Linked DNA regions of Notamacropus eugenii. The protein of the gene in region 1 purifies or fractionates together with the protein of each later gene. This does not show direct contact. Links are inferred from orthologs where the notes say so. Each region holds a gene or a part of one and is shown in the gene's direction. Other genes may lie near its edges. The genes, in order: POLR2F, POLR3G, POLR3F and POLR1E.

The links.
Region 2: the proteins of POLR2F (region 1) and POLR3G purify together in Homo sapiens (affinity purification with mass spectrometry; 3 studies listed by BioGRID and IntAct, with this or other methods). This does not show direct contact. The link is inferred for Notamacropus eugenii from reciprocal best matches to the Homo sapiens genes POLR2F and POLR3G.
Region 3: the proteins of POLR2F (region 1) and POLR3F purify together in Homo sapiens (affinity purification with mass spectrometry; 4 studies listed by BioGRID and IntAct, with this or other methods). This does not show direct contact. The link is inferred for Notamacropus eugenii from reciprocal best matches to the Homo sapiens genes POLR2F and POLR3F.
Region 4: the proteins of POLR2F (region 1) and POLR1E purify together in Homo sapiens (affinity purification with mass spectrometry; 4 studies listed by BioGRID and IntAct, with this or other methods). This does not show direct contact. The link is inferred for Notamacropus eugenii from reciprocal best matches to the Homo sapiens genes POLR2F and POLR1E.

The regions. Positions count from the first base shown.
Region 1 is NC_092874.1:295,434,402-295,441,915, forward strand, and holds the start of POLR2F (DNA-directed RNA polymerases I, II, and III subunit RPABC2), read left to right. Parts: upstream 1-4,501; 5' UTR 4,502-4,844; coding exon 4,845-4,864; intron 4,865-5,526; coding exon 5,527-5,596; intron 5,597-6,272; coding exon 6,273-6,403; intron 6,404-7,514. Other genes in the region: C3H22orf23 (UPF0193 protein EVG1), read right to left, coding at 1-13, 297-437, 1,031-1,207, 2,922-2,984, 3,083-3,191, 4,027-4,086. UniProt on the Homo sapiens protein: DNA-dependent RNA polymerase catalyzes the transcription of DNA into RNA using the four ribonucleoside triphosphates as substrates.
Region 2 is NC_092875.1:450,149,640-450,157,010, reverse strand, and holds the start of POLR3G (DNA-directed RNA polymerase III subunit RPC7), read left to right. Parts: upstream 1-4,355; 5' UTR 4,356-4,588; coding exon 4,589-4,671; exon of another isoform or gene 4,672-4,765; intron 4,766-7,371. Other genes in the region: acyl-coenzyme A thioesterase MBLAC2, read right to left, coding at 3,463-3,916. UniProt on the Homo sapiens protein: DNA-dependent RNA polymerase catalyzes the transcription of DNA into RNA using the four ribonucleoside triphosphates as substrates.
Region 3 is NC_092872.1:593,327,979-593,335,852, forward strand, and holds the start of POLR3F (DNA-directed RNA polymerase III subunit RPC6), read left to right. Parts: upstream 1-4,868; 5' UTR 4,869-4,967; coding exon 4,968-5,029; intron 5,030-7,874. UniProt on the Homo sapiens protein: DNA-dependent RNA polymerase catalyzes the transcription of DNA into RNA using the four ribonucleoside triphosphates as substrates.
Region 4 is NC_092874.1:316,992,073-316,999,944, reverse strand, and holds the start of POLR1E (DNA-directed RNA polymerase I subunit RPA49), read left to right. Parts: upstream 1-4,857; 5' UTR 4,858-5,066; coding exon 5,067-5,130; intron 5,131-6,138; coding exon 6,139-6,242; intron 6,243-7,872. UniProt on the Homo sapiens protein: Component of RNA polymerase I (Pol I), a DNA-dependent RNA polymerase which synthesizes ribosomal RNA precursors using the four ribonucleoside triphosphates as substrates.

The DNA.
Region 1 (7,514 bases):
ACTTCCTTCACCACTGAAGAGGAGAGAAAACTCATTCACACACAGGAAACTCTCCAATCCTGTTCATCCCTCCTGCCTGAAATAGGAAAGGCTGGATTCTCCCCAGGCCCGAGAATCCCTTCTCTCCCCTGCCCTGGCCTGTGATATCACAGTTGGCCAAAGGTGCCAAGGCTCAGAGCAGGAAGGGACCTTGGAAGCCACTTGTGTGACAGAGATGGGCTGTGCCTTGCTTGAGGTGGCCCAGGAGCAAGGTTGGAATACCCTCGTGGGCCCCAGGCATACTCATAGTGCCTTACATTCTTCAAATCTATCTGGCTCCGGGTCTGAGGGCAGAAGCTCAGCCTGCCGAACAGATGGCTTCTTTTTCTTTTTCTCAATGCCTTCTTTCCCATTGGCAAATATGTTTTGGAGCCGCTCCTTCTCCTTCTCTATATCTCCTGCAGGATCCAAGTGTGAGAGATGGATGGGAGAATAGCACACATCCTTGGACTAAATGGGCATCCGTACCCAGGCTCCCTTGGGGCATCTTTCTCTCTGGAAGAAGGGGGGAGGCACAGATAGGGCAGTGAGTGGTGCCAAAGAGCCAGGTGATGCTTTGGTGATGTAGACAGGAGCAGAGCTTCACATGGGAGACCCACTCTCAGAACAAGGCTCAGGGAGGGAGGAAGGAAGGATGACTGACAGCCTCTGCCTTGCTGAGGTGAGGTGAGGAGGGAGGAGAGTTGCTCTGGCCTCACCTTCAGGCCCTGCTCATCTTACCACTGTATCCCAATAAATCTCCTTGGGACACATAAGTTTTGTGGATTTTGTTTTCCCCTTTCCCCTCCTGCGTCACTCATTCCAAAAGGCATTTGCTGCACATGTTGGAATGGGAGATCTTGCCCAGTTCTCTGGTTCATTTTAAGGAGAATCTTGCAAACTCAAGGAAATTGCCCTGTCTCAGTATCTGTCCTCAATTGTGCCCATGGCTAGGGCAGAGGTTGGCAGTGCCTCATCTCCTTATTCTGAAGCCCAGGGCTTCAAGACTTACGACAAGGTCTTGGCTTGAACTGGTCTCGGGTGTAGGCCTCAGTGGCCTGGCAGACTTCAGCAGGGCGGAGATGGGGCCTTGGGGCCAAGATGGGAGGCAGACACAGGCTGTTGATTCGTTTGGGCATTGGCTTCTGGCTAGATACTGGGTTGCAGTAAGAGGGCAGCGCTTCGCCTCCTGGGGAGAGACCAGAACAGAAAGAAGTCCAAGACCCAGGTACCAGGAGTCCTGCCTATGGCCAGCCACTTCCTAGCCTACTCCCCTGAGCCTCAGTTTCCCTATCTGTTCAACAGAGATGATTGACTTCCAGTGGCAGATATGCACCAGTGTAAAGTCCTGTCCAGGTCAGCAGAGGAGATGAGGCTGGGGGCAGGAGGAGGATGTGGAGGAAGGGCCAGGGAGCCCAAGGAATGATCTCTACTAAGGGTTTAGGAAGGGAGAGCATCCAGATGGAAAGATATGCAAGAATGCCCCCTGCCCCGGGGCCTTTGCTATTCCCCAGAGCCTCCAGCTAGCAGGCAGCTCCAAGACCCAAGTCATGGGCTTTTGCAGGGAGTCCCTGGAAGTAACACCCTTCTGCCTTGTAGAGTTCATTAAACTATGCAACTCCTTAATGCATTTAAACTGATGTCCATCCTGTTTAACTGTGTCCCTCTACTAGTTTGGAAGCTCCCAGAGGGCAGAGCTATGTAGACGTCTTTATATCCTGCTTCTAGCACCTAGGTTGGGAGCTTCTTTGAGCATGCCCTCCATAACTGTGGGCTGGAAGAATCAGGGACCCAGTGTCACTGAGCTTGAGCAGAGGGAAGGGGGGGATTCACAGATACCAAAGACAGACATCTATCATGACAAGACCATGAAGGAGCCTGGCCATCAAAGTCTGGTAAGGAAGGATGTCAGAAGTAGCAACTTTGGAGACAGAGGACCCCAACTCAGATCCTGGCTTCTTACTGGGGCTGGAATGGATGCTCCCAGAGGTCCCAACTCTACATCTGTAATCCTGGTAGTGGCACAGGACAGGAAGCAAGGCCTAGTGGGGTAGTTTGGGATAGTAACAACTGACATCCTGACTGGGTGACCCTCTCTGTGATTTCAACAGCTCCCTAAGGTTGCAGAGGAAGTAGAGGGAGTGTCCTCACCTGAGAAGTCTATCAAAGAAATTACAGGTCCAGTCCCTGTAAGGCTAGGGCCTTAGGAATGGTCCAGGTAATTGGTACCAATTGGTAAAGAGGAAGAAGAGAGACCAAGGCTACAGCCTAGGCTGGAAAAATTTTACTGAAAAGGTGGGATATGGATAGTCTTAAATTGGATAAGGGAAGTGGTACAAAGACTTGGGAGGTGAAGAGGAATGTCCATGGAATGTAAGGGGAGCCTATTTGGCTGTGGAGGAGAATTCCCCAGAGGGGGGCAGTGGGAAAAAAGTTTGGACAGTCAGGTTCAGGCCAGATTGTGGAGAACTGTCTTGGAATGGAATGTGTCCCACAGAATTCCAGAGTTGGATGACTTCTGAGGTCCAGTCCCATCTTCTCTCCCTTTTCAAGTTAACCCTCCTGCAACATTCAACAGAGGACCCATCTCCCATTTTACTGAAAAAGTTAAGGCCAACAGAAGTGAGCACCCTCAAGATTGCTCTCCCAAATGTCTCAGTTCAACTAGGCCAGTGATTTTCATGGAAGGAAGATGGAATCTGCACCATCCTCCCCAAAAGACCAAGACTAGTTTATAGATATGGAAAATGAGCCATACACAGATGACACATTACATCCCAAAGGAATCTCTAGACACTATGGGAGAAGTGCCTAATCAGCTATACAGCCATTACTGTGCCATTCTAGTTAAGGCGTGAGGAGAGTGTTGAAAGGGCAGGAGGAGGATCAAGGCTTCAAATTACTTTTCATCGAATCCATGAGCTGTCGCTGCTGGAAGCTGGTGAGTTTGGACTCCTCCATCATCACTGCAAAACAAGCAGGTGATATAAGAGCCACTGGGCTTCTAGCCCTCCTGGGGCCCTGTCCTGATCAGCCCTTCCTTCAGGGCTGTCCCTCCACTGACCTTTCAGCAGCTGACAGGTTTCTGGGGTGTAGCTGGATTGCCGTGAGTGCCAGAAGCCAGTACCTTTGGCCACAGCTCCTGATTTCCCCTTTGCTGCCATGGCAAAACCCTACAGGTGGAAAAGAAAGGTTTTTAGGACTAGCCTTCCCAGAATGTTGAGAGCTGAAGGGGATCTCTTCTAAGAAACAGGCTTGGGGAGAAGGATGACTTGTTTAAAATGAGCCATTGAGCAGTGAAGAGATTTCAGGTCTGGTGATGGGTGGAAGCAGGTCTTGGGAGAGGGCAATGCCATTAGCAGGGTCATTCTACGGACGGATGTGTGGTTCTGCTCAGCCTCGGAGGGCAGTCTGACAAACAGGAGTCATGGGTGCAGATTTAGGCTTGACGTCTAACAATTAGAGCTATTCAAAAAGGAGAAGGGTTCCCTCTCGCTGGAAATAGAAGGCTGGAGGATCGGGTGGGAGGAGACCATGGTGTCATTGGTCTAGAATGGGAAGAAGTCTCCCCCAAACGTGGACTTCTTGAAGACCTCCAGGGACAGGGAGCTCGCTACTTCCTAGGGCAGAAATCGTCCTGAGCAGGACACAGGGATGGGGGATTCCTAGAGGGGGGCCGGGGGGTGGCCTCGGTGGTCAGGAGGTCCTTGCAACTCTGGGCTTCTTCTGACCCCGAGCAGTCCAGCCTCAGCTCTACCCAGGCCAGGCCTGATGGGAATCATCTCCTGCCCTCCGGGGACGCCCGAGCGGGGGGCTCAGGCTGCACCGGCGGCGACGAGGAGAGGCGATCGCTGCGGCCGGCCCTCGGCGACACAAAGGGCGGAACTCGCCCCCTGTGGTGCTGGGACGATCGCGACAGGCCGCCCTTGTCGGGGAGGTGCCACGTGACAAGCCCCCCGCGGCCACCCGCCCTGGGCTTCCCCTCTCCCCCAGGGACGGGCTCCGGACCGCTCCGCTCTCCCCAACGGGTCCATGGGGCTCCGAGCAGCGGCCGCCTCCGGCTACCATGGCAACGGCTGCGAAGGCCCCGCCCTCAGCCCGGTCCGAGCTTCCCGGGCCCCTGGTCCCGCCTACGCTGCCATGGCAACCGCCCAGGCTCTAGGCTCCCCTCCCTCGCTTCAGGCTCCGCCCCTTCACGAACATTCTGGGCCCCGCCCCTGGCATCTCCTATGCATGGCCTAGCCATCTCCCCTCAAGCCCCGCCCCTTCCCCCAGCGCTTCCGTATCCGCCTCCGGCTCCTCTAGGCCCCGCCTCCAGGTCCTCTGTTCTGGCTCTCCCTCCCCTCCTGGTTCGGCTATGTCACTGCACCGGATCGGTCTCGGTCTCCTCTTCCCAAGAGCTCCCCACTCTGCTTCCGTCTCCGCCTCTGGCTACCGGGGGAACCGCCGCGCGCCCTGCTCGGGGCTATCCGGCTCCTCTTTGCCATGACAACGGCAGGCCCACGCCCCTTTTTGGCGTCAGGCTCCACCCCCTGCCCTCTCTCTGCCCTTCTTCGCCCCAAGAGCTCGAGGTTCCGCCCCTTGGCCTATTACCGGAACTTGCTCATATGCTAAGGTCACCGCGCAGGCGCAGGGAATTCTGGTAGGGCCGGTCCGGAAGTGGGTGCTGGAAGTCGTGAGTTTGGTCTCAGTGGCGCGAGCCCGAGCAGTGCAGGAGGCCAGACCGGGTGGCTTGGGCTCGTCGGGTTCCGTGAAGAAGGTTCTGCTGGGAGACAGCTCTTCCTGGCCAAGGCGGCCACTGGGCCCGAGCCCAAGGCTCCGCAGGCATGTCTGACAACGAGGACAAGTGAGTGCGGAGAAGGGGCAGATAGAGCGGCCCGAGGATGGGGGGAGGGGAGGGGGATGGAAGGAGGGGGATGGAAGGGAGACTGAGAAATGGGGGCTCAGCATTGGAAGGTAGGATGAAAAGAGGTGCAATCACAGAGGCATTATGGCCTAGGGTCAGAAAAGCCTGGCTTCGCGTCTTGTCCCGGATCCTGACCCCTAGATGATCTTGGGCAGGTCTCCCCCCGCCCCCCCACCCGCATTAGCACTGGCCTGTGCCCCTCCGATGTTGGACTCCGTGGCTTCTGGTGTGAGGCCTCTTTTGTCTCCTCTTGTAGAATGAGGGCAAGGACCGTCTGGTCTCTGTCTCTGTCTTCTTAGGTGCCTGGCGCACACACCCTGGCAGGTACTGGAGGATAGTGATGTGCACTTGGGGTATGAGTCTAGCACCTTGAGGATCCTGAAGCCACATGGGGACAGATAAGGCCCGGGGGGGGGGGGGGGGGGGGGAGGGGGCGGTCACTTCATCCAGCTCCCTCTTTTTACAGTGGGAGCTTCTCCACCTCCAAATGCAGCCTTCTTTTCCACTGCCCCAGCAGATCCAGGCTAGAATTGGGGGAGATGGGGGAGGGTATTTGGCCCTCTCCGAGCACCCAGGTTCACTGGTGCTTTCTTCCTGTACAGTTACGATGGTGATGACTTTGATGACGTGGAGGAAGATGAGGGTCTAGATGACTTGGAGAATCCTGAGGAGGTCTGTACTTCTCCCATGGCTCTTACTGCCACAGCACAACTGAGGCCAGGGCTGGGTGCCAGTCACCTGGGTGCCAATCACCTGGGTGCAGAGCATAGTATCGTTCTAGTTCATGGCTCTTCTTCTCACCTGGAACCCTGGAACCACAAAGGTCACTGAGCATAGAGTGGAACAGCCCCCCCCCCCCCCCCCCCGCCTCCCCCCCCCCACTGTAAACCAGCAGCCCTGTGTGCAGACAAGCCAGCTGCAGGCTTTTCATGCCATCCTTTGTCCTTGGCTGCTGGGGCTCTCAGTCCCTTCTTGCAGGTGAAGCGTCGTGGAAGGGACAGATCTAGGACAGAGTTACTTTGGAAGACCAGCCTCTTCCCTGGTTTCGGGATGTGGCAGCTGGCCGGGGGTTTCACGACAAGAAGTACATTTCCATTTGACCAGTCTTGTGGCCATTCAGTAAAATTTTGGTCTGGAAGCCAAAATCTTTTTAAGCTTTTCTTCCTCCAAACTTGTCACCTCTGTGGTTTATTCCACTTGGAAAATGGACTGAGCCCTCTGTTGGGGGTATTCGAAGTCTTACTTCCCCATGATCTCTGGTTGAAGTTGCCAGGAGCCTCTAGGTCTGAGCCTTTGACCTTTTACACCCACAAGGAAATTTCCCACTCTCCTCTCCCTCTTTTCCTAGGAGGGCCAGGAGAATGTGGAGATCCTTCCCTCTGGGGAACGGCAGCAGGCAAACCAGAAAAGGATCACCACCCCTTACATGACCAAGTACGAGCGAGCCCGGGTCCTGGGCACCCGGGCCCTGCAGATTGCGTAAGTAGAAATCCCCCTTTCCCTACTCATCCCCCACCCCACTCCCACCCCATTGACATCTCAGTTCAACTGACATTAAGAGTACAGGAGCTAAAATGAGTTTGAGAGTCAGGAAGCCTTGGCTTCAAATGCATCCCTCGTGGCCCTTGTCCAGCCCTGTTGCTTCTAGCTATGCTGTCCTCTCGATGACAACTGAGCTGTTAATGGGTTGCAATCTGCCTTTGTCAGAGGACTTTCTCCACTAAGGAGATCTTAGGAAATTGACACAGAGTTGAAGTCCAAAGTTTTGTTGTTGTTTAGTTGTTTCAGTCATGTCTGACTCTTCATGACTCCATTTGGGGTTTTCTTAGCAAAGGTACTGGAGCGGTTTGTCATTTCCTTCTCCAGTTCATTTGACAGATGAGAAAACTGAGGCAGATAGGAAAGTGACTTGCCCAGGGTCACACAGCTAGTAAGTGTCTAAGGTTGTACTCAGCCCTATGTTCTGTCCACTGCACCACCAACTGCCAAAGTCACCTAGAAGTCAAAGGCCCAGGGCTCACTTTGACTTGAAGTAAGTCATTTCATTTCTCTGGTCTCAGCTTCCTCATATGTTAAATGAGACTGGACAAGGTGACCTGAAAGGCCCCTCCCAGCTCTGAGTCTTTGATTCAGGGACATGTGCCTTCATGTCTCTAGTGCCCAGCATAGTGCTTCCACCTGCTAGGCCTGCAGCCTTGAGGCCATGTACTAGGCATTTAACAAATGGTTATTGAGTGAAGGGTTAATGAATGAAAAAAGCCTATGGTCTAAGTGAAACAAGTACACAGAGAACTGGTATAAATGATATTAGTGCATAGTAGAGATGCAAGGAAAAACCAGGAGGATAAATTGGTTGAGGAAGAGATGGCTTTCCCCTGGAAGGTTTCATTGGGGCCTGGAAGGAAGGTACTTCCTAAGGCAGGGGCGAGATGAGAATGAGGAACAAAGGGAAGTCTGTCTTTGTCAGAACCTAAGTGGTAGGAATGAATGAACGAATCAGTGAGTGAGGCATTTCCTAAGCTCTTCCTTTGCACAAATCACTGCTAAGCACCAGAGACACAGAATAGTCCCCCGTGCCCTCCAGGAGTTC
Region 2 (7,371 bases), on another chromosome or scaffold:
TCAGAACTTCCATTCAAAGGAAGACAACGAAACAGGTAGAGTCTTAGTTTGAAAACTGATAATTAAGGAAAAACTATCCTTGAAAAGACTTTACCAAAAAAAAAAAAAATCATTTGAATGACAATGGTTTTCTACTCTTGCTTCCCCACCAGTCAAGAGTGGACACAATAAAGTAAAAAGGTACACAGCCAACTAAGGCTGTCATTTCCTGCTATTAGCTCTACCATTTTGTAGGCATGATCGAGAGAAGGTTCTAGAATCATACCCAGTGCTTCCACATATTGAGACCAGTTTAAGGATTAGCTCCCCATCTCACATACATTCATGGGTACAGGCTACTTGCATTTAGTAGTGACCAGAACTGGCACCATTTAAATTGTTATTTCCACCCCACCCCCCACTCCCCGCACCTCCCACCCCCACCCCCATTGTTGGTTTTTTTTTTGGCTAGTAGGTCTAGTGGAATTGTGGAGTTGAATTTGGGTAGGTTAAATGATCATTCCATCCCACTTCTATTAGTTTCCTATTCTCACAATCCAAGGTCTTCTTTGAGTCAACAAGAAAGGCAAAAATCTCTTCAGAAAATATCGTTTTTTATATTCTGAAAATAGTTTTCAATCATTGCTCTCTAGAATGATGAATTAGAATAATTAGAATTAGAATGATCTAAAGATCCATGTGGTAATTAATAATGACATGGACTGAGTTGATGATAGGAGAGATCGTCAAAAAAAATAGTTAACTTGGCATTAAGGATGCTCCATTTGATGTAAGTCATGGAGTATCTCTTTTATTTAAAAGTGCTTGCTGGACAAAGGGCCATAGGTCACTAAAACTACTGTCAAAGGGTCACCAAACTAGGGGTGCAAAGACGAAATCATTAGTTAATTCTGTGGATAAGGAACGAGTTCATGACCAAATTAGGGGGTCACAGGACAAAATTGATAATTTTAATTATATAAAATTAAAAAGGTTTTGCACAAATTAAACCAATGCAGCCAAACTTAGAAGAGAAGCAGATAAATGAGCAACTAAGTTTCTCTGATAGACTTCATTTCTAAGATATATAGGGAACTGACTTAAATTTATAAGAATAAGAGCTATTCCTCAATTGATAAATGGTCAAAGGATATTACTAGGCAGTTTTCAAAAGAAGAAAACCAAGCTATCAACAGTCATATGAAAAAAAATTCTCTATATTACTAATAATTAGAAAAATTCAAATTAAAGTAACTCTGGGATTCCATCTCATTCCCACGGTATTGATACAGTAGACAAATAAGTTAAATGACATGCTAGAGGGTTTTGGGGAAAATAGGTTATGAAATCCAGTCATATTCTAAAACAATTTGGAAATATGCCCTCCAAATTATTAAATTATCTATGACTTTCAGCTCAGCAAAACCACTAAAGGCTCTATACCCCTAAAGAGATTAGAGGGAGAAAAAATACTCATATGCACAAAAATATTTATATCAGCTCTTTCTGTGGCAACAAAGAATTGGAAACTGAAGGAGTTCCCATCAAGTGGGTGATGACTAACAAAATTATGGTAAATGTATATGATGAAATAATATAATGCTATAAGAAAAGGTAAAGGGCATGGTTTCAGAGAAACATGGAAAGACCTGCCTGAATTGATTCTGAGTGAATTGGGCAGAACCAGGAGAACAATTTATACAGTAACAGTGATATAGTGATAATTTTAAAAGACTGAGGAACTATGATTAATAGAAGGCCCAACTACAATTCCAGAGGACTCAGGATGAAACATGTGATAGACGTTTTGGGGGGGGGAGGGAACATGGCCAACTTGGGAATTTGTTTTACCTGACTGTACATGTTTGTAACAGGGTTTTATTTTTCTGGCTTCCTGAATCTGGGGGTGGGGGAAGGAGGCGGGGAGAGAATATGGATTTAAGAACAGTGCCAGAGGAGCAGCTAGGCACAGTGGACCAAACACCCACCCTGGAGTTTGAAGGACCTGAGTTCAAATGAGACCTCAAGCCACTTACTAGCTGCGTGACCCTGGGCTTTATCCTGATTCCCTCAAATCTGCCAAAAGCGTCTGGCCAAAGATTGGGGAATGGCCAAACAAATTGTGGCATATGAATGTAATGGAATATTACTCTGGTGTAGTGGTCTGAGATCTGGCTTTGGGGAGAGACTTCTGTTCAAATTTTGCCTTGACAAATGTGACTATGGGTCGGTGAGGAAGTCACTCAACCCTTCAATGTACCTAGCAAAACAAGTTACAAAAAAGAAGCAGAGCCAAATATGAGATGGAGGAAGTCACATACAAATGTAATCACAGGCCCAGATAGGAAAAATGAAAATCATAAGATTCTCATTAGTATAGACCTGCAAGCAAGGGTTTTGTAGATGTATTCCTCCTTGGCAGTCTGACAAAGCCTATGGCCCTTTTCTCAGAATGTTTTTAAAGGTATAAAATACATAAGATTACAAATTATATTGAATTATATTGAAATAAGGCTGTAATTTTTCTCCCATCTTAAGAATTTCTGACTGGAAGTCCCCTTAAATGGTATCTAGTGCTCCTAAAAAAACATTCAGGCTCAAGAGCTTTAATTTGTTCAAGGTCACACACTCAATGAAAGGTGGAATTTGAACCTAGGCTCTCTCATTTCGGTGCTGGTGATTTTTAGACAGTTATTCTTTCAACAGACATAAGGTAAATGGGGTCAGAACTGGATGTCATTTGGAGATAAGGAATAACCTGGGAAGACTTGGATTAACTGAGGCAGAATGAAGAACCAAGGAAACCTAGCCAACGACTACAAGAACGTGAATAAATAACACTAAAAAGCATCAGAATTCCGATTAAAAAAGCAATAACTTGTGTTGATCCTAGAAAGCAAATAAAAATATTTCCCTTTCGAGTAGCAATGGAAACTAAGGGTGGGGAATGCTGCAAACGGTGGCTATGTCTTTTGGTTCCAAGGTAGGGTCTGAAAGAGGAGGGAGGGAGATCTATGTCGTGAAGAGGCTGAGGAGAAAAGAATTTTTTTTTCCTTAAGTGACTGGAAATGTCAAACAGGTGCTCAGAATGGGAATGAGTGGGTGGAAATCTTTCAGGAAATTCAGTCTCACAGCCTGTGGCATTCCCACTGCACCAGGCTAGGGAAACTAATTAGGGGGCGGAGCGTCTTCCACTCCACTAGTAGTACATTGTATCTCTACTGTAGCAGAGCGCTTTCCCCTCCCCTCTGCAGGGCCCCGGGAACCCAAAGGGCCTCTCCAAGGAGCTTTTCTCCTTCCAAGGGAAGAAATGGAGACAGGTGTCATTTGGGTGACTTGGCAAAGGATCTCCCTCTCTTTCACACACACCCCCCCCCCCCCCGCCCTCCGTTTGGTTAAGCTCACCAGGGCTCTTCCAGGCCGCATGCACCCTCCCCCTCCCTTGGCGCCCCTCTCCCCACGGAGGGGCCAGCGCTCCATTACCCTCCTGCAGGATGTGGGTGGGCTGCACCGCTTGCACCCGAAACTGCCTGGCGTTCCAGCCGGGGCTCGGAGCCCGCACCACTTCGCTCTCCGACAGCCAGGTCGCAGTCTCAAAGTTGTCCCCGCGGGCCAGGGCGTCCGCCTCGGCCCGGTGCACCGCTACCTGGTCAAACTGGTAGAGCCCACCGGCGTGATCGAAGTGGACGTGGGTGGCCACGGCCAGCAGCGGCCGCCGCACCAAGTCCTCCCCTTTGTCCGGGTCCTGCAGGAGGCCGGCCGAGTACAGGTACTCGGGCAGGCTTCGAAGCCCCAGGCCGGTGTCGATCACCACGTCCTGCTCCGTGCCGCGCACCAGCCAGATGTTGGCGCGGTTGCCCGACTCGAAGAAGCGCTCCTGGATCCAGAAGATGCCGTCGCCTAGGGACTTGTGCGCGTACCATTCCAGGGCCGACATGCCGGGGCCGGGATGTGAGGCGGGAGAGTGCGGGAGTCGGGGGGCAGGGGCGCGAGCAGACACCAGTGCGGCGGGGCCTCTCCCTCTCTCCGGGCTGCGGACACAGCTGCAGCTCCCACAGGCGGTCGGCGCCGTCTGGAGAGGAGGAGGGCTCGGCGGGGGCTCAGGCCAGGGGGGCTGGGCGCGGGAGAGGCTGCGCTGCCCAGGGCCAAGAGGAGGGGCGGGCGAGGGGCGGGGGTGGGGAGGTGGGAAGGACGCGCCAGCAACCGCAGCCTGGACCGAGCCCCCCGCGAATGGGCGTCGCGGGGCAGCGCCTTCCAATGGCAGCGCGGAGCCCACTGCAGCAGGGAGGGCGAGCGCCCACAGCGGCACCTTCTCGCTCCACCCTCCTCACCCTGGGGTGGGTCCAACTGCAGCAACGGCAGGGAGGGGGGAGGCAGAGAGAGAGACGTCTGCAGAGCCACAGGTCCCGCGCGAACGCGTGTGAGCGCGCGTGCCCGAAGCTCGCGGGGGCCGAGCGCGCCTGCCAGGGCTCGCCAAGCCGGCCAGGAAAGGGTGGGGGCGAGGCTGCTCGGGCAGCAGGCAGGGCGCCTGCCCAGGGCTGAAAAAGCTTGCTGTGCAGGGGGCGGGCCTGGGGGCGGGGCCAAGAGGCCTCAGCCGGCTGGAATTTGAATGCTGCTCTGGAGGGGAAACAGAGAAGGGAGGGGTTCAGTTTGCTTGGAGGTGGAACCCTGCGACCGGGAGAGGCTGCACAGGTAACCCAGCACCCTTTGCCTGCCAGCCTTCGTGGGCACACTTGTGAGTTTGAGAACATAAGCAGCCCCAGCCAAGCCCGGCCAGGGAGGAGAGGTAGGCGATGGGGACCTTGAGGGGCAAGGGGAGTTGATGTGGAGCCTAAGGAAAGGGCTCTCGGTTAGGAGAAGTTAATTGAAACCTAGCCCCCGGCCAGAAAGAAGTTTGGACCCCTCTGCCTCTTTCTGTTCCCATTAAACCCCAAATGTTCTGTAATGATTCTTATCTGATTGTAACCTGGGTCCCCCTTGCTGGGCTGACTGCTATGAGATTAGAAAGTAATTTACTCATTACTGAGGACTTTGTGGGCCATTAACCGCGTTATATGGACATAACCTTCTGTAGGGAAGGGATTTCCCCTCCTAGGTATTACTGGTCACTGCAGCAGGCTTGCAGCAAAGGGTAGAACATTTAGTATCTCTTTACTTACCTGTCAGCACATTAAACCGTGGCATGAGGTGAGGAGGGCTGCCAAGCTCTAAAACAAAATAAGATCTATTTTTTACACTTTTTCATGGTTGGAATAAAAGCAAGGCAAGGGGGATGGGAACTGGAAGAGGCTGAGCAAAGTAAGAGAAGATAGCTGGCAAAAGATGAATTGGGGAAGACTGGAAAGGGTGGGTGTGGCCCAGTTAGCCTCCTAAAAGAACTTTCCCTTTAACCTGCTCTCCCTACCCTCCTCCCCACCTATTGGTTGACTACACCCACGGAGATTTAGAAAATTTCCCAGGATTGTGGCCTGAGGCTGACTTTGGCCAGAAAAGCTCTTCTATCCACACAGCATTCTTGGGCCCTCCCAGGATTGAGAGTTTCTTGAAGTCTGCAATATGCAGTCATAAAAGATAATTATACGAACTCTATTTTATGGAGACAAATACTAACATGCCTCTCTGTTTGAGGAAGAGTATACTATTATCAGGCTATAAACTGCTTAGGATGACTTTAGTCATGATGGAGGTGTGGACTGGAAATTTTGTATTTACCTTTCTGTTCATATTTTATACCCCTTTAGAAAGTCAAGACAGCAAGCATTTATTAAGCCCCTACTATATGCCTGCCATGTGCTAAGTGGCAAAAGAAAGGCAAAAAACCCAGTGCCTGCTCTCCAGTAGCTCACAGTTTGATGGAGAATACAAGAGAGGTCATCTGAAAGTTGTGAGATGGTGGCCTCGATTTTTTTCAGTGAATATTATAAGTTCTCAGCTGAGGTAGAGGGGATAGGAGATCATTAGAGACTTGAGGAGGGAAGAAAAGGTTTAGAATGGATTAGGGAGCAGGACATCCTCCCTTTCTTTTTTTGGCCTGCTTTATACATAATAGGTAACTAATACCAATCTATCAACAAACCTTTATTAAGCCCCAACTATGTACCAGACTTGTGCTAAGCACTGTGGATAGGAATTGAGGCAAAGAGTCTTTGCCCCCTAGGAGCTTACAGGCTAATTAGGGAGAGATAGCATGCAGATATATGAAAAGTAAGCATACAGTAGGAAATTGTTAAGAGGAAAGGCACTAGAAATAAGAGGGGTCAGGAAGGCTTCCAGTAGAAGAAAGAATTTTAGTTGGAACTTCAAATAAGCTAGAAAGGTCAGTAGTAGGAATTTTGGAAAGAGAGAGTCCCAGGTATTAGGGACAGCCAGAGAAAATGCTCCAAACCAAGAAATGGACTGTTTTGTTTACAGAACAGCCAGGATGCCAGTGCTATTGGATCAAAGAGTGTGTGTTGGGGAGTAAGATATACAAAGACTCGAAAGGTAGGAGGGTTTAGATTATGAAGGTCTTTGAATGCCAAAAAGGTATTTTTTATTTGATCCCAAAGGCAATAAGGAGTCACTGGGGTTTTTTTTTTTGAGTGGGGAGGTGATATGATTGGACTTGCACTTAAGGAAAATCACTAGCGTCTGAATGGAGTATGGATTGGAGAGAAGAGACATGAGGCAGGCAAACCCAGCAGGCTATTAAAATGGTCCAGATCTGAGGTGATGAGGGCCTGTACTTTGGTCGTGGCAGTGTCATTGATGAGAAGGGCTGCGTTCAGGAGATAGTGAAAAGGTGAAATTGATAGGCCTTGCTAACAGGATATATGAGTGAAAATAACACCTAGGATATGAGGGATGATGTTGACCTTAACAGTGATCCAGAAGGTGAGGGACCGGGAAGGGTTTAGGGAGAAAGTTAATGAGTTCAGTTTTGAACATGTTTAATTCAAGATATCAACTGGACATCCAATTCTAGATGTATGAAAGGCCTAGGGAGATTCAAGATTGGAGGTCAGCCAAGAGCTTGGGGCAGGATAGGTAGATTTGAGAGTTATTAGCATAGAGATAGTCATTAAAATCCTTGGAAGCTGATGAGATCACCAAGTGAGGCAGAATTGGAGAAGAGAAGAGGGCCCAGGACCAAACACTGAGGGGACACAAGTTGAAGGGCTGATCTGTAAGAAGATCCAGAGAAGGAAACAGAAGGAGTGGCCAGATGGGTAGGAGGAGAACTCCGAGGGAAGGATGTCCTACAAACCCAGGAAGAATTATCAAGGAGGGGAGAGTGATCTAATGTCAAAGGCTGAAGAGAAGTCAAAGAGAATGAGGAATGAAAAAAGGCCACTCGATTTGGCAACTAAGAAATCACTAGTAATCCTCGAAAGAACAATTTCAGTTCAATAA
Region 3 (7,874 bases), on another chromosome or scaffold:
CACATAGTAGGTACTTAATAAATGTTTATTGACTGATTTTATTGGTGTAGGGAACGGAACTCCTGATGATGAAACTCCCTCCACCATGTAGATCCAACCAATCTGAAATTTGTAATATTAGAGAATTGTTTGAGGTACTGAGAAGTTAAATGACTTGTTAATTATCACATTATAGCCAATACATCTCTGAGCCTGTATTTTCTACAAATATGGCTTACACACACACACACACACACACACACACACACACACACACACACACACACGAGGTTTCTGCCAGTCCAACAATCCAGACAACCAAAAAATCTGTATCACACTCTTCAGAGCTTCCTAGAAGGACTAACTCCTTGAAGGAAGCTCTTTCTGTCTCCTTTCTACCAGTGCCATCTTGATCTTACCCTTCCTGCCTTTCAGCAGTTGAAGAGAACATTTAGGAATGGCTACAGCATAATCTTTTCTCCTAAATAAGTAATGGGGGACAAACCAGAGCGCTCACCTCCACCATAAGGTATTGAGGATAAATGTAAATAATGTCTAAATCTCTTTAGCTAAATAGGGCCACTTTCTAAAGAGCTATTTTGTAATTAACTAAAAGTATAAGCTTCTTCCTGGATTTTTTGTGATCATATACAAGTTAACCTTAGAGAATTAATCACTATCTCACTCTACCTTTCCCATCTCATTACACAGTCTAGCCCAAAAGGTCTATTTGGTATTCTCTGCATGCAAAATTTTATCTCCTTCTTTTACACCTTTGCACAGACATGCCCCTCCCCTCCACGTCTGGAATGTCACTTCTATCTCTTTAGAATCCCTAGCTTCTTTTAAAGCTCAGTTCAAGTACAACCTCCTAGAAGAAGCATTTTCTAACTCTTCTAGGTGCTAACACCTCTTCCCCACCAACTATTTTGTATACATTGTAGCCCCAGACCTGGAGTCAGGATAAACCTAAATTCATATCTCGTCTTAGATGCTTACTAGCTATATGACCCTGGTCAAATCATTTAATTTCTACATTTTTAAACTTCTTGGGCTATAAAATGGGGATAAAATTTGTTGTGAGGATCAAATGAGTTAAAATTTGTAAATCACTTTACAAACTTTAAAACTAAACGTAAACGCTAGCTATTATTATTATATTGATATGTATACATGCTGACTCTTTCAATAGAAGGGCTCCTTAAGGGGAGGGGTTGTTTTCTTCTTTTTGTGTTAATCTATGCCTATATCCCTAGGCCTAGCACAGAGCCTGGTGCAATAAATACATGTTGTCTGATTAGTACTATGCCAACAGAAATAGATTTCAGGGTATGGTTTGAGGTTAAGAGATGGATGGATTTCTTCCTCTAATATTTTTATACATATAAGATTCATTTAAAATTGACATATATGAGATAGAATGGGAAAGCAGTGGTAGATCAAAGATATCTATCTGGAAAAGTGAGAAAGCATTTTCCACTGCCTGAGCCAGTGTTAAAAGTGCTAGTATTATACGCACTGATTGTATTTTATTGTACAGTATTGATCTGTTCCTTCTGAGGCAGCTAGGCGGTCCAGTGGATAAACCTGAGCTTGAGTCCTACTCCAGACTTTGATTAGCTATGTGACTCTGGGAAAGTCACTTAAAATCTTTCAGTTTCAGTTTCATCATCCATTAAATGGAGATAATAATAGTACCTACTTTACAGGATTGTTATGAAGATCAAATGAGATAACACTTTGCACTTTGCAAACCTTAATGCACCACACAAGTTCTCAATCTTCTTAGTTCCTCTCTCCTCAACTCTACCTGACAGTTCACCAGCCCATAGTTTCTGTTCCCTATTGTTAGGTCTGGTGGGCAACAAAATATTGGGTTAATTGTATTAAATCTAAAAAGGAATCCTATGCACTGGTAGAGGGATAGTCTTCACCAGAAGTTCCTTATACCAATGAAATCACAAATCTCATCCTCCCTATGATATAAAAAAAACATTAAAGAAATCTAGTATGATCTTAACATATTTGTGGAAGACAATATTGGAGGCATTGAATACACATTTAAGTATACATTTCAGTCTCTTCACCAAATCCTTTTCTGTAATGACTAACCAAAAAACAGAGACCTCTTGGTCAGTTGTATGATTCAAAATGTGGTCTAATGTGGAAAATATTCCAACACATGTCCTTTTCCTTCGAGGACTGAATTATATCTCACTTCAGATTAAAACTACAAACTTGGAGCAAGATATTTTCTTCCTTCTAATACAAAGGTTCTTAACTTTTTGTGTGTCATGGATCCCTTTGGCTGTCTAGTGAAGCTTGTGGACCCCTTCTCAGAATATTATTGTTGTCTACATTCACAATTGAAGTACACAATACATTTCCGTTAGAGGTTGGTAAAAATAAAGATGTAATTTATTTTCCCACCCAAATTCACAGGCTCCAGGAAATCCATTTGTGGATCCTTAGAGGGTGCCTTGGAGGGGTTTTTAGATTCTAGGTTAAGAACCCTTGTTCTAGAAGCACCTTGGAAGAAACTCACAGTGTTTGCACCTTCTTTGCCTCTTTATCAGGTTGGGTGTAAAATATCATTCAATTAACCTCATTATGATATGTATATACATATATAAGCATATACACTTGCCATGATATATGTGGATATACACTTTGCTATGAAATGTATTTATTCAGATACACTAGCTATATGTATATACTTATCTATGATACACACATATATAGACACTCTCTCTATATACACATATATATACGTATATACACTATATACGTATATATCTATACATATGCAGTAGCTGTGATATATGTGTGTGCATACGTATGTATTTATGTATGTATACACATATATACATATACAGAGGGCAGCTAGACGGTGCAGTATATAGAGTGCCAGACCTGCAGTCAGAAAGACTCTTCTTCCTGAGTTCAAATCTGGCCTCAGACAATTACTAGCTAGAGGACCCTGGGGGCAAGTCACTTAACCCTGTCAGCCTCAATTTCCTCATCTGTAAAATGAGCCAGAGAAAGAAATGGCAAATCACTCCAGTATTTTTGCCAAGAAAACCCCAAATGGGGTCATGAAGTCATACACAACTGAAAATGATTGAACAACAATAAAACACACACACACACATATATTATACAAACACACCACTCACCACACACTAACCTGCAACGAACACTCTAGCTCATAATGGTGGATGATGAACAAGTCTGGTTTTCCCAAAAATGAAGCCTTTACATCTGGGCTCCAAAACTCCACAAAGATATTTTAGTGTTGTTGGCTATGCCTTTGCCTCCTCCATTGTCCCTTCAGGCAGATACCATATTTAACAGTCAGGGTACAAGTATTAGTAGTGCAATGAAGCACTGGAGCAGGAGTCAGAAAGACCTGAGCTTAAATCCGGCCTCAGACACTCAGACAAGCTGGGCGACCCTGAGCAAGCCACTCAACCCCTGTTTACCTCAGTTCCCTATGGCAAACCACTCCAGTATTTTTGCCAAGAAAATACCACAAAGTACATGGGAGTCACAGTAAAGTCCGACATAACTGAACACCTGAACAACAACAAAATACACTTGCTATGTGTGTGTATATACATATACACAAGTTATATGTGTGCATATATAAATATATACATCTGTTATGTGTGTCAAAGTCACGTGCAAGTCATGTCATTATTTCTCTGACGGCATGGTCTTCTTCAGCAAAGAAGGACAAACACACACACACACACACACACACAAGCTTGCTGTATTAGCTGTGATTTCGTGGGGAAATTGTTCCCCATAATTATATACACAAACACACATCTATGTGTACAGAGGTGTGTATATATATATATATATATATATATACATATGTATACACACACATCCACACACATACATTTATACACACATATACAAAGCTTCCTGCATTAGCAACGATTTAGGGGGAAAATTGCTCCCCACAATATATATATTTATATATGTCTACTGTGGGGGGGGAGACGGGGTGGAAACTGTTCCCCACAATTACACACGTGCATAAGCTTTCTGCAGCAGCAGTGACTTTGCAGGGAAATCCTCGAGAGCGAGGGGAACCCCCAAAAGGTCTAAAAGCGCCCGCCGAAGCACACGCAGGACGGGCCTCGGGCAGGCGGCTCTACACGGCTGCGGAGGCCCCAGCAGCGGGCCCTCCTCTCTCCCACGCCAGCTTGGCAGCAGCAGGCATCCCGGGGCCGTCCGCGCAGGTGCTCGGGGATGTGCCCCAGGGACGCAGAGAAAGTCCGGGGAGCCGCGGGAAGGATAGGGGTCAGACACCCGAAGCCGGCGGGCCAAACTCGGTCGTGGTCATGCCCAAGGTCATGCCCAAACGCAGGTGTTCCCACCAGGTAAGGGGGTCCCCCCATTCATTCAGACCAGATGCTTCCCGGGTGTTGCCATCCTGCTGTCCTCCCCTGGGGTGTCCTGTGCCCGCCTAGACTGACCCCAGTTTCCGGCCGCTCCTCACCTGGCGGGTCCTGAGGACTCCAGTTACCAGAGACGCTTCAGCACCAGCCAAAACCGAGGAGACTATTTTGATTGGTTCAAATCTAGCTTCCTAGCAACTGGCTCCGCCCCTTCCAAGCCGTTCAGAGAATCCTGCTAGTTCTCTTCCTACCTCTAACTCAAGAAGCGTCTTAGGCGTTTCAATATTCGCCTGATCTATGGAAGGGAAATATTGAAGAGGAGAGCCTAAGGGGACAAGGAAAGCAATGAGTCCGTTGAATGTGTGGAGAAATACTTTAAATAGTTAACTCTGTGCACGAACCACGCAGCACCCAATTGTCAAACGGGACCGGCGTGACTTAGACAGCTCAAAGAGGGTCCTTGGCTGAGATGCGACTCAGAGAAAAAGGCCCCTTTCTGCCCAGGTGGGGGCGGAGGCCCGGGGGAGGCTGCTGGAGGTTCGAGCTAGCTCCTGCTTTCTCACCCCCGGCTGAATCATGGCTGAGGTAAAAGTGAAGGCACAGCCGCCTGATGCAGACCCAGTGGAAATAGAAAACAGGTAAAAAGGAGACGCTGGGAATGAATGATCTATAGTTTGCGTTCTCCTCTCCACCAGCCCCCCGCCTCCTCCCGGGCCCTCCTCCTTGGGATTCGCGTGGGGTCTTGGGGAGTGAAAGGTCCTGGGGAGGGGTGAGAGAGACTGTCCCGAGGGCTTCGGCCCCTCCTAACCTTTACCAGTCTTTGTGTCTGGGTCAATTCGAATTGATTTCGGGAAGTTTGCAAACGAACTCTAAATCACTTAGCTTGTTTTTGTTACAGTCTAGATAGTTAACTAAAGCTACACGTGTAGACTGAGGTGACAGTGCTGGGCGCATAGTAAGTGCTTCAAGGCTTTTTCATTCATTCATGAAATGACGTAAAAACGTGCTTTGAAAATCATTCTACTAGTGGTGATAATTGGACTATGTCTGTGGTCTAGTGTGAGGAAGTATCAGAGTTAAGGAATGCAGAATGGAACCTAAGACCTCAGGCTCTACCCAGGGATTCTTAAATTTTTTTTCTGTCAAACCTGTGAATCTCTTCTTAAAATGTTATTTTTTTAAACGGATAAAACAAAATAACATAGGATTACAAAGTTATATAGTTATTACAAAATTATAATTATGTTGCTGTGTGATTATCAATATATTTAAAAAGATAAGCGTCACAGGGCTTAGGTAAAGGTCTTTACTGTAACCTAAGGACATTCATAACGTTTTATTAATTATTCTGTCAGTAAACATACCTGTCAATTCCCCACCTAAGAGCTGGGGATACAAGGACAGAAGTGAAACAGTTTCAACTATGCTTCTATGGAGGGAAACAACGTATACGTATATAAGCACATACAAAATACATATATGGAGAGGAAAGACACTTGGAACTATTACCTTTGGTCCTTAATGCCCTGACTGGTGAAAGCTCATCGTATTTAGTTGACCCCATGCCCCTGACCGTACTTTCTCCCTATTAATCTTCCATTCATGCTGCTGCCCTTTGCTTTCCATCGTGCACTCTTCCTACCTCTTACTCTAGGAACAGCAATCAGATCAATACTTTAATTGCTTTTGGAAAGACAATCTCATTTTAAGAGTCCAGTTAATACCCTCACTACTCTTGTACTTCTGGGCCAAACTGTTCTTACCTAACCTCCACTCTCATATATGCTTTGTTTCTTCCTATTAGAATGGATGTTCTTTGAGGATTTGAATTATTTCTCTTTGATCTTTGTATTCTCAGTACTCAGTGAAGCACATAATACATAGGAAATGCCTAATAAGTGCTTTTTTTGTTCATTCACTAAACAGTTTGGAGGAAGGAGATTTTATTAAGAAGGTCAAATCAGCAAGCATCATTAAGTGGCTACTATGTGTCAGGCACTGTTCTAGGAGATACAAAGAAAGGCAAAAAAACCCGTCTTCTCTCAAGAAACTTGTAGTCTGAAACATTATGCAAACAAAATATATGCAGGGTAAAATGGAGATAATCTCAGAGGGATGGCACTAAGATTAATGAGGATCAAGAAAGCTTCTTGAAGAAAGTGAAAGGGAAGCAGGGAGGCAGAAATAGGAAGAAGAGCCTTCCAGGCATCGAGGACAGCCAGTGAAAATGACTGGAGTTAGAATTTGTGTGAGGATGTGTGAGGAAAAGCAAGAAGATCACTATCACTGGGTTGTAGAGTATATATTGTGAGAAGAATGTACAGGGGAAGAAGACTGGAAAGGTGTGTGTGTCAGGGGAAGGTTATAAAGGACTTTGAACCCAAACAGAGGATTTTATATTTGATCCTGGAGGTATTTAGGAACCACTGGAGTTTATTAAGTAGGGAAGTAACATGGTCAGACTTGCACTTCAGGAATATAGTTTGATAGCTGAACGGAGGATAAACTGGAGTGGGGAGATACTTGTTAAGGCCTACCAGTAGCTATTTTCATAATCTATGGATGAGGTGATGAGGGCCTGCAAGAGGATTTTGGAAGTGTCAGGAGAGAAGGACACCTAAGAGATATTTTAAAAGTTAGATTAACAGGATTTAACAACTCAGTGGCTATGAGGACCGAGAAAAAGTGAGGAGTTAAGATGATACTGTGGTAGAAAGGAATAAAGGGTAATATTTATGAAAAGGTATGTTGGGACCAGGCTGTGAAGGCCTTTAAATGTCAAACAAAGGAGTTTGTATTTTATTCCATAGATTGTAGAGAGCCACTAAAGCTTCTTGAGCAGGGGAGGGATGTGGTCAGATTTGTGTTTTAGCTGTGTAGAGAACTGAAAAGAGGGAGAAATCCGAGACAAAAGGAAATTACAACAATGGTTAGCATTTATATAGTGCTTTACGGCTTTGATCCTCACAGCTATTCATATCTCCATTTTATAAATGAGGAAACTGAGACAGGGAGAGTTTAAGTAATTTGCCCAGGATCACATAGCTGGTAAACATCAGAGGCTAGATTAATTGTTTCAGTAGTCCAGGCAAGAGATGATCAGAGCCTGAACTATGGTTTGGGTGTATAGAAGGGGACAGATATAAAAGATGTTTTAGTGAAAGAATTGACAAGACTTGATTGGATATAGTAGCTGTGGGATGAGGGAGAATGAGAAAGTAATTGATTTTATATGTAAGAAGAGAGAGAGTGACGGAGGATGATTCTCAGTTTATGAATTTGAGTGACTGGATGTATGATTGTGCCCGTATCAAAAACAGGAAAGTTAAATAGAGAGTTGAATTTGGGAAGTATTGAAATGCTTATTGTATATACAGTTTGAAAGTTCCAGTGGGCAATAGGTGATGAAATAGAATTTAAGTTCCTTCTTTGAGAGTAAAAACTTTGATTTTTTATTTTCTCATTGCCTAAACCAGTGCCTGA
Region 4 (7,872 bases), about 22 Mb from region 1:
TACCCCTCATGGTCAAGGCTATAGGTCACTGTGTAGCCTTGGGTCCCCCCCACTATGGATGGGGACCTTACACGTATCTAATCTGCCTCTTTGCTAGCAAGCCATTTCCCTCACTTTGAAATTAAACTTCTGTTTGATTCTTGACTTTCGTATCCCTAGCCTACTCTGTTTGGCTCTGGCCAGACACAAATTAGAGGTTGACAAATATAAACTATAACATATCATATCACCACTATCTGATACTCTTAGGCGGTAGAGAAGATTCCTTGGAGAATTGTGAAACTACTAAATAACTTTGTTTCTTTGTCCGCACTAAATCACAGATATTCTGGCCAGCCAGGGCAATGTTGTGGGCATGTCCTCTAAGAAGGATGTACCTGGGGAAATCATTTACCTCTGAGCAACAAAACAGAACACCTAAATCAAGGATTATGAAACTCTAAAACTCATGAAGAAGTTAGAAATATCCATCTCTTAATATCACTATTTGGTGATCAGGGAAAAAAAGCAGAAATCAGAAGAGACAGCCAGATCCAATCTCAAAATCACAGACAAGCATATTCTTTGTTGCATGTTTGTTATACCACCATAACCACTTTTAAGGTCGTTCCTTCTTCCTAGCTCCTGAAATCTAAGGGAGAGCTGGCAATTGGTTGTGTTCCAGCAAAGAAGTCCCTTTTAAAAGGATTTGAAGCTGTTGACTACAAAGGACCTGAGTTCAGCAATCATGAGAACTCGAAGGCAATGAGTCACAACATAATATCAAAAAGAATTTTATGCAAATGATGGAAAGTAATTGAGGCATCAACTGTAGGAAGAGGCCCCAATAAAAGCCTTGAGGAGAGGGCTGGTTAGGTCAGGAACTCAGCATCCGAAGTTTGATCTGGAGTGAGGTTTCATTGAGCCAGGCCGCAGCAATTTTTTTTATATGAAACAGTGTGATTTTGTTCTTTGTTGTTTTTTTCTCTCCCTTTTTACCTAGCAATTATCTTATAATTGGACCTTACACAATAGGTTTAGAACCTGGGAGCTCCACAAAAGAGTTCCACCAATGGGGTTAAGGAAGAAGTCATTAGAGATCCTTTGTCCAACCTGTGTTTCCATAAGAAACTTCTGCCAATTCCCTATCTTCAATGGAAGCCACCTCTCCTCGTGTATCCTTTAGCCCAGAGAGTGAGTAGCTCTTCCTGGCTTATCTCTCAGTCCTCTTTCACATGATCCTCGGTCATAGGAACCAATAAGGAATTAATGCATCAATCTTAAGCAAAGCAAGAGGTCACAGTATATGTCTGTTTCCACAGAACCAGAGCAAATAATCCCTGTGGCATAAAATGTATAAAAATTAAATACAAGATAATTTTGGGAAGGATACCAGCAGTTGGGAGGATCAGAAACGTATAATGTAGAAGGTCCTTCTTGAGTTGATTTTTGAAGGAAACAAGATATTCTTTAAAGTGGAGGTGAGGAAGGAGTATATTCCAGGCCTGGAGGAGGAGTATGACTGAAATGAGGGAGTGTATGAGGAGAGTAATGTATTATAATTCGGGAGAGCTAGGTTGGGGTCAGGTTGTGAAGGGTTTTAAAAGCTAAACAGAAATTTATATCTAATCTCAGAAGTGATAAGAGGTCCCTGAAGTTTGTGGAGTAAAGGAGTAACATGATCAGTTGCCTGCTGGAGGAAAATCACTTTGACAGCTGAACAGAGGCTAGATCAGAGAGGTTAAGAGGCTTGAGGCTGGTAGACCAACATGGAGTTGATTGCAATAGTCCAGTCAAGAGTTGACAAGAATCTGAACCAGTGCCCCAGTAAAAATAAAGTGACAGAAGTGAGAAATGTAGTGAAAGTAAAAACCAGAAATTTTGGCAAATGATTGGATATAAAGTGGAGAGAGTAAGAACTGGAAGACAGCACTGAGGTTGTGACCTTGGGTGACACAATGAATGAATAAGCATTTGTTAAATGCTTACTATGTGTAAAGCACCTCACTAAGTACTGGGGATAGAAACAGAAAAAGGAAGATAGTTCCTGCTCTCAAGGAACTCACATTCTAATGGGGAAGATAATAGTGCCTTTGACAGAAATAAGGATGTTCCGAGAGTAGTGGTTGGGATGGGGGAGGAAGAGAATCAGCTTCATTGGAATTTGTTGAATTTGAGATACCTGCAGGATAGCCAGTTTGAAATTTCCCATAAGTAACCAAAGATGCACAACTTAAAGATCAGAAAAGAGATTAGTGCTGGATATAGATTTAAAAATCATCTGCATAAGTTGAAGCATACCTTTTTCCACTTCATTTGTCTTTTGGTATGGTTTTTTCCCCAATGTGGCTAATGTGGAAATATGTTTTGCATGACTTCACATGTATGATCAATAACATATTGCTTACTTTCTCAAGGGATAGAGAATTCAGAACTCAAAATTTTTAAAAATGAATGTCAAAATTTTTGTGTATGCAATTGAGAAATATTTAATGAAATAAAATGTATTTGTAAAAGAAACATTTAAAATCTTAAATGTAATTGGGAGGCGTAACAAAATAAAAATATATTTTAAAAATAAAAATCATCTGCACAGAAATGATAATTAAATTCATGGCAGTGATGAGGTCACCAAGTGAGAAAGTACAGAGAAAAAAGAGAAAATGCAGGATAGTATCATAGTTAAGGAGTGTTATACAGAAAAGAAAGTGGAGAAGAAATAGTCAAAAAGATAGGAGGAAAAGCAAGAGAGAGTAGTACCAGAAACCTTGAGAGAGGAGAGAGTGTTTACTGGGAGAGGCTGGTGAGTATTGTCAAATACCGTAAGGAAGTTGAGAAGTTTGAGAGAAAGCCACTGGATTTGGACCTTGTAAGAAAAGGGCCCTTGGGGCTTACTGTCAGACACTTTCTTCCTGTGTCCCTCACTCTCCTATCACTCAGAGCCAGGTGTACAAGAAAATATTACTGTTTCAATTAATGTTTTATTTGATTCTTTTAGAGTTCTCTAAATAGAGCATCATACCTCTGCAAAAACTTCTTATTTGTCTAGGTTCCTTCCCTCAATTTCTTTTTCTTGTTTTCACTATAGTTAGCATTTCTGACACTCTATTAAATGACAGTGTTGTCTCTGGACATTTGTGCTTTACCTCTGATCTTATTTGTAAAGGACTATCGAATTTCTTCACTACTTATAATGTTGGCTCTTTGTTTTACATAAGAAACTATTTGCTATCTTAAGGAAAGATACATTTATTTCTGTGATTTTTAATACGTGAGGCTGTTTGTTCTTTAATAGACTTTGAATTTTGTCAAAAACTTTCTCAGAACATATTGGTATAACTAATTTTTATTTATACGAGCTATTATAAACTATGTTATTCCTAATATTGAACCTCCCCTATAGTCATGGTATAAATCTAACTTGGACAAGTATCTAATCTATTTAATATACTATTGTAGCCTCTTTGATATTTTATTTAATATTTTGTATCAATATTTGTTAAGGATATTAGCCTATATCGTTTTCTCTCTTTTTTGTCTCTTCTTGATTTAGGTATCAAGACTATATTAGTAATAATAGAAAAAGTTTGGTAGTAAACGTGATTTCCAATTTTTTTGCAAAAAACATTATATAATACAGGAATTAACTATTCTTTGAATGTTTGATACAATTCACTTGTAAATACATATAGTAACGGGAGGAGTTTCTTGAGTTCATTTATGGCTTGTCCAATTTATTTTTTCTGATGTGTTAAGTTCTTGGTTACCTTCTTTTAACGAGTATTTAAATTTTTTAATAAATGTTTTCTATTTAATTTGTCTGTTGACCCCATAATTGGACAAAATACTTTGATAGCTTCCTTTATCTTAATTTTTTATAAATTCTTTTCATTTTTGATGCTGGCACTTTGTTTTTTCTTTTCAAATGGAACTAGTTAACTTTGTAATTATTATTACAAACAGCTCCTAATTTCATCGATCGGTTTGGTGGTTTTTCTTCTTTCCATGTTGTTCAGCTCTTTGATTTTCAGGATTTGCTTTGTTATTTAGCTCTTTACTTTTCAGTCGTCCCCTTACCAACCTATGCTTTGTCTTTCCTTAATTTTTGGACTTAGATATAAATTTACTATGGAGTCCTGCTTTAGTTACATCCCAAACCTTTTGTTCCTGTCATTCTCTCTGATGAAATTGCCTGTTGTTTCTTGGATTCATTCTCTGATCCACCCGTTCTTAGGAATGATTTAATTTGTTTCTTCCACTCCTCCCACCCCTGTCCTGAGTGATTTGTTTAAGACACTTTGTTTTGTTTTTTCTAACCAGACAAGAAAGTGAAGCTCACGCTGAAAAGTCACCAAGTGGATTTTTGCCCAGCCCCTCCTGAGAGCAGAGGGGGTACGGACCTGCAGTCAGGAGGTCCCCATCACTGTCAGCACCTTGGACAGATGCTGTTTGCCCATTGAGTCCGCAGCCCCCAGTGATCCTCATGGTCCTCATAGGAGCTCCAGCCTTCACCTGGGCTGTCATCAGCTCCAGCTCACGGTGTGTTGGAGGCATGGGGGACTGGTAAGAAGAAGGAGCATTTAGGAAGCACTAGACGCTATTGTTATCATCCACATTATACAGATAGGGAAACTGAGGCAGGTGGAAGCTAACAGACCCGGACCAGGCGTGCGAAGACGCTCGGACCGCCCAGCCACTAGCTTGGACAAGGGGAGGAGCCGACGGCTTCAGGGGGCGGAGCTTAGAGGGCGATGACGAACCCGAGGCTTCAATGGGCGGGGCTTGGGAGGAGGGACTGAACCGGACAGCCGTAGGAAGCTGGATTGAGGAGAGACCAGCCAGTAGGCGTTAGGAGGCGGTGCTTCTGAGGAGACAACCAATCAGCTGAGAAGCGGAGGCTAAATCGACAGGTCTTCAGGAGGCGGGGATTGGGGAAGGCCCGGGTAGGGCGGTTCTTCCGGCCCCGCGGCCCCGCCTCTTCCGGTGGAAGCGGGATTGGGGAGCTTGGTGACTGGAAGCTCCACATGTGAGCTCCGTGGAGCGCGGACCGAGCCGTGGCCGTGGGTTCCGGGGGATCTGCTCCGGCCATGTCTGCGTTTGCAACGTGGCAGTACTGCGGGGAGCCGGGCGAAGGGCAGAAGGCTGCTCTGGGTAAGGCCGGGGGCGGCAGAGCAGCTTTACCCCCTCCCTTAGGGGCTGTGAGGACCGTGCGCGCCCGCGTCGGGACCGGCGCTTGTAGTGCCAGAGGCATGACTTAGACCAGCTCTCGCCCAGCGCCGGCCTCCGTGCTCCCTACATGTCCAGGAGGCGCTGGGTGGTGAGGGCCTCGAGCGCCCGGACAAGCCGCCGAAGGGCCTTCGTGAAAGGGCAGGGCCTCCCGGTGCATGCCGGGCCGGCTCCAGGCGTCCTGAGGATGACCAGCCCACCGGCCCGGACGGCTGTGGAGGGGGTGAGGCTGGTGAGCGGCCGGCCCTCCCCCTCAGAGCAGGGTCAAGGGCGGGTCAGGCCACGAAGGACGAGCACAGCCCACTCCCCACTTCATCGGGCATCAGAAGCTCTCCCGGGGCCCGTCTCAGCGCACCCGGCAGATGCACCAGTGTTTGCGTACGGGCAACTCTCTTCCCTCTCCACCCCCCTTCTCACTGTGGATACACCGTCTCTGTAAAACGCACAGTACACCTACAGCTCCTTCAGGTCGTGCCTTACAGTCTGTCCGCGCGCCGGTCAGGGAGGCTGTCCTCGGGGGTCCGTGTGACCCGATGCCCCCTGCAGTGCCCCCTCCTGCCCTTAGTCCCCATGCGCTGGCTGGCCTTTCTCCTGTCTAGCTGTCCTCCATCAGAGCACTTGTTTGTCCCCAGACTTCCCTCGGTCTCTCCCTCAGGACCCAGGGAAATATTCTAAAATGACTGTGCTTGCCCCTAGTCCTTGGTCTCCATCCTCTTCTCACTCTGTAGCCAAAGCCAGCGTCCTCTCTTGTTACCTCTCACATAGGAAGGGTCTGGTAGGATTCGCTTTCTGTGACGTTCGTAGATACTGTAGCCCAGAACTGGGGATTGAAGGGCTTTCCTGTTTTTATTAATTACATTAATGGAACTCTTTTAGAAGTCCACTCTGCATTCAGCGCCACTTCGTTGATCATTTTCTGTGCATTTATTGCAGTTCAGTTTTCCAATGGGAAACTCCACAACGCTGAGAATGTGAATTTTTCCTTGTACAAGAGCAAAGACACCACCAACCCCAGGAAGAAGTTCAGGAGGATTTTGGTGAGTCCCTCAGTAGTTTTGTCTTTTTTTACAAGGTGGTGTGTGCCTGGAAGCGGGCGCTGACCCAGAATGAGAACAGCTTTGCCTCATGGGGACCGGGCAGAGCTGATTAAAATGCTCCTAAGCTGTTTAAGTCCCAGTCAGGTACATGCTGTGCTTGGGTCTGCTGGGTGCTAGGGGTGCAGAGGTAAAAGTGAAGCAGCCTCTGATTTTAGAAGGCACTAAATACCGTCAGAGGAGACCTCGTGTACGCATATAAGTGTGTTCGTAGTCATTTGGGGGGTGAGAGAGGATGCCCCAACATCTGAAGAGCAAGAAAGGCCCTGTGGAAGTGGCTTCTGAGCTGAGCTTTAAAGAAAACTAGCAGGGGTCTTTACTTGAACTGAAACCTGCCTGTGTCCTGTGGTCCTGGTTCTGCTCAGGGGCCAAGGAGAGTGAATCTTAGTCCCTTTTCACATGAAAGTCCTTCACATATTGAAGACAGCTCTTATTTCCCTGTCTTTCCCCCAATTCAGTATCTTCAGTTCCTTCAGTTGATTTTCATAACTTTGTTCTTTGATCATTGTCTCTGCCCCCCTTCTCAATGTACTTTCGTTTGTCAGTGTCCCTCATACAGTGTTTGCCTGGAACTGAATGAAGTTAAATTCCAAACATGCTCTGATCAATACAGACTATAGTGAGATTATTAACTTCTGTTAATACAGTCTAAGATCCTTTTATTGTAACCATGTCATATGTTATTGACATAATTGAGGTTGTAGTCAGCAGATGCCTCGTTCGTAGAAATTGTTATTTATCCACAGCTCTCCAATCCTGTACTACAGGATTTTTTAAAAATTTTACATTCATCCCCAGATATTTTAAAAATAAATATTTTGTTGATGCTTTTGATATGTTTCACTTTTCAATGATTTATCTTTCCACTAACAAGTATAGTTAAACAAATCAGATCAACAAATCAGGCACACACTATGGAAAAAGTGCAGCATTTTAAAAGCCTTGGGTTCACATTCCAGCCCTGTCACTTATTACCACTATGATTCTGGGCAAGTCCACCTCTCTATGAAATGAGAGGGTTGGATGAAGCAGTTCCCTTCCAGTTCTCAGTCCTTGATTACAGACGCCTGGTTCTGCATCCAGATCTGTAGCCCATCCCCTCTCTGCTACGAGGAAGAAGAGTTCTGATGTCTTTAGGGGTGCTTTCCTTTATGTTACCGTGGTCATCATCTAAATTGTTCTCTTGGCTTTCTTCAAGTTATAGGGTCATAGATTTAGACCCATAAGAAAACCTTAACAGCCATCATGTTTAACCCCCTTGTGCAGATAAGGAAACTGAGGTATAAAGAGGGTAGGTAGAGTCAGATAGAATAAGTGTCTAAGGTGGGATTTGAACCCGCCTTTCTTAACTGAGTTCGTTGTCCTATCCACTGTTCCATGCTGTTTTCCCAAGTTCCTCTGACTTCTTCAAAATCATTATTTCTTACAGCACACTATTATTCCATTACATTCATATACACTTTGTTCAGTCACTCTCTTTATGTAGGTGTCTACTCTGTTTCCGTTTTTAGCACAAAAAGATTGCTGCAAATAGCTAATACACAGAAGTATGGGAAGATTGGTATCAATATGT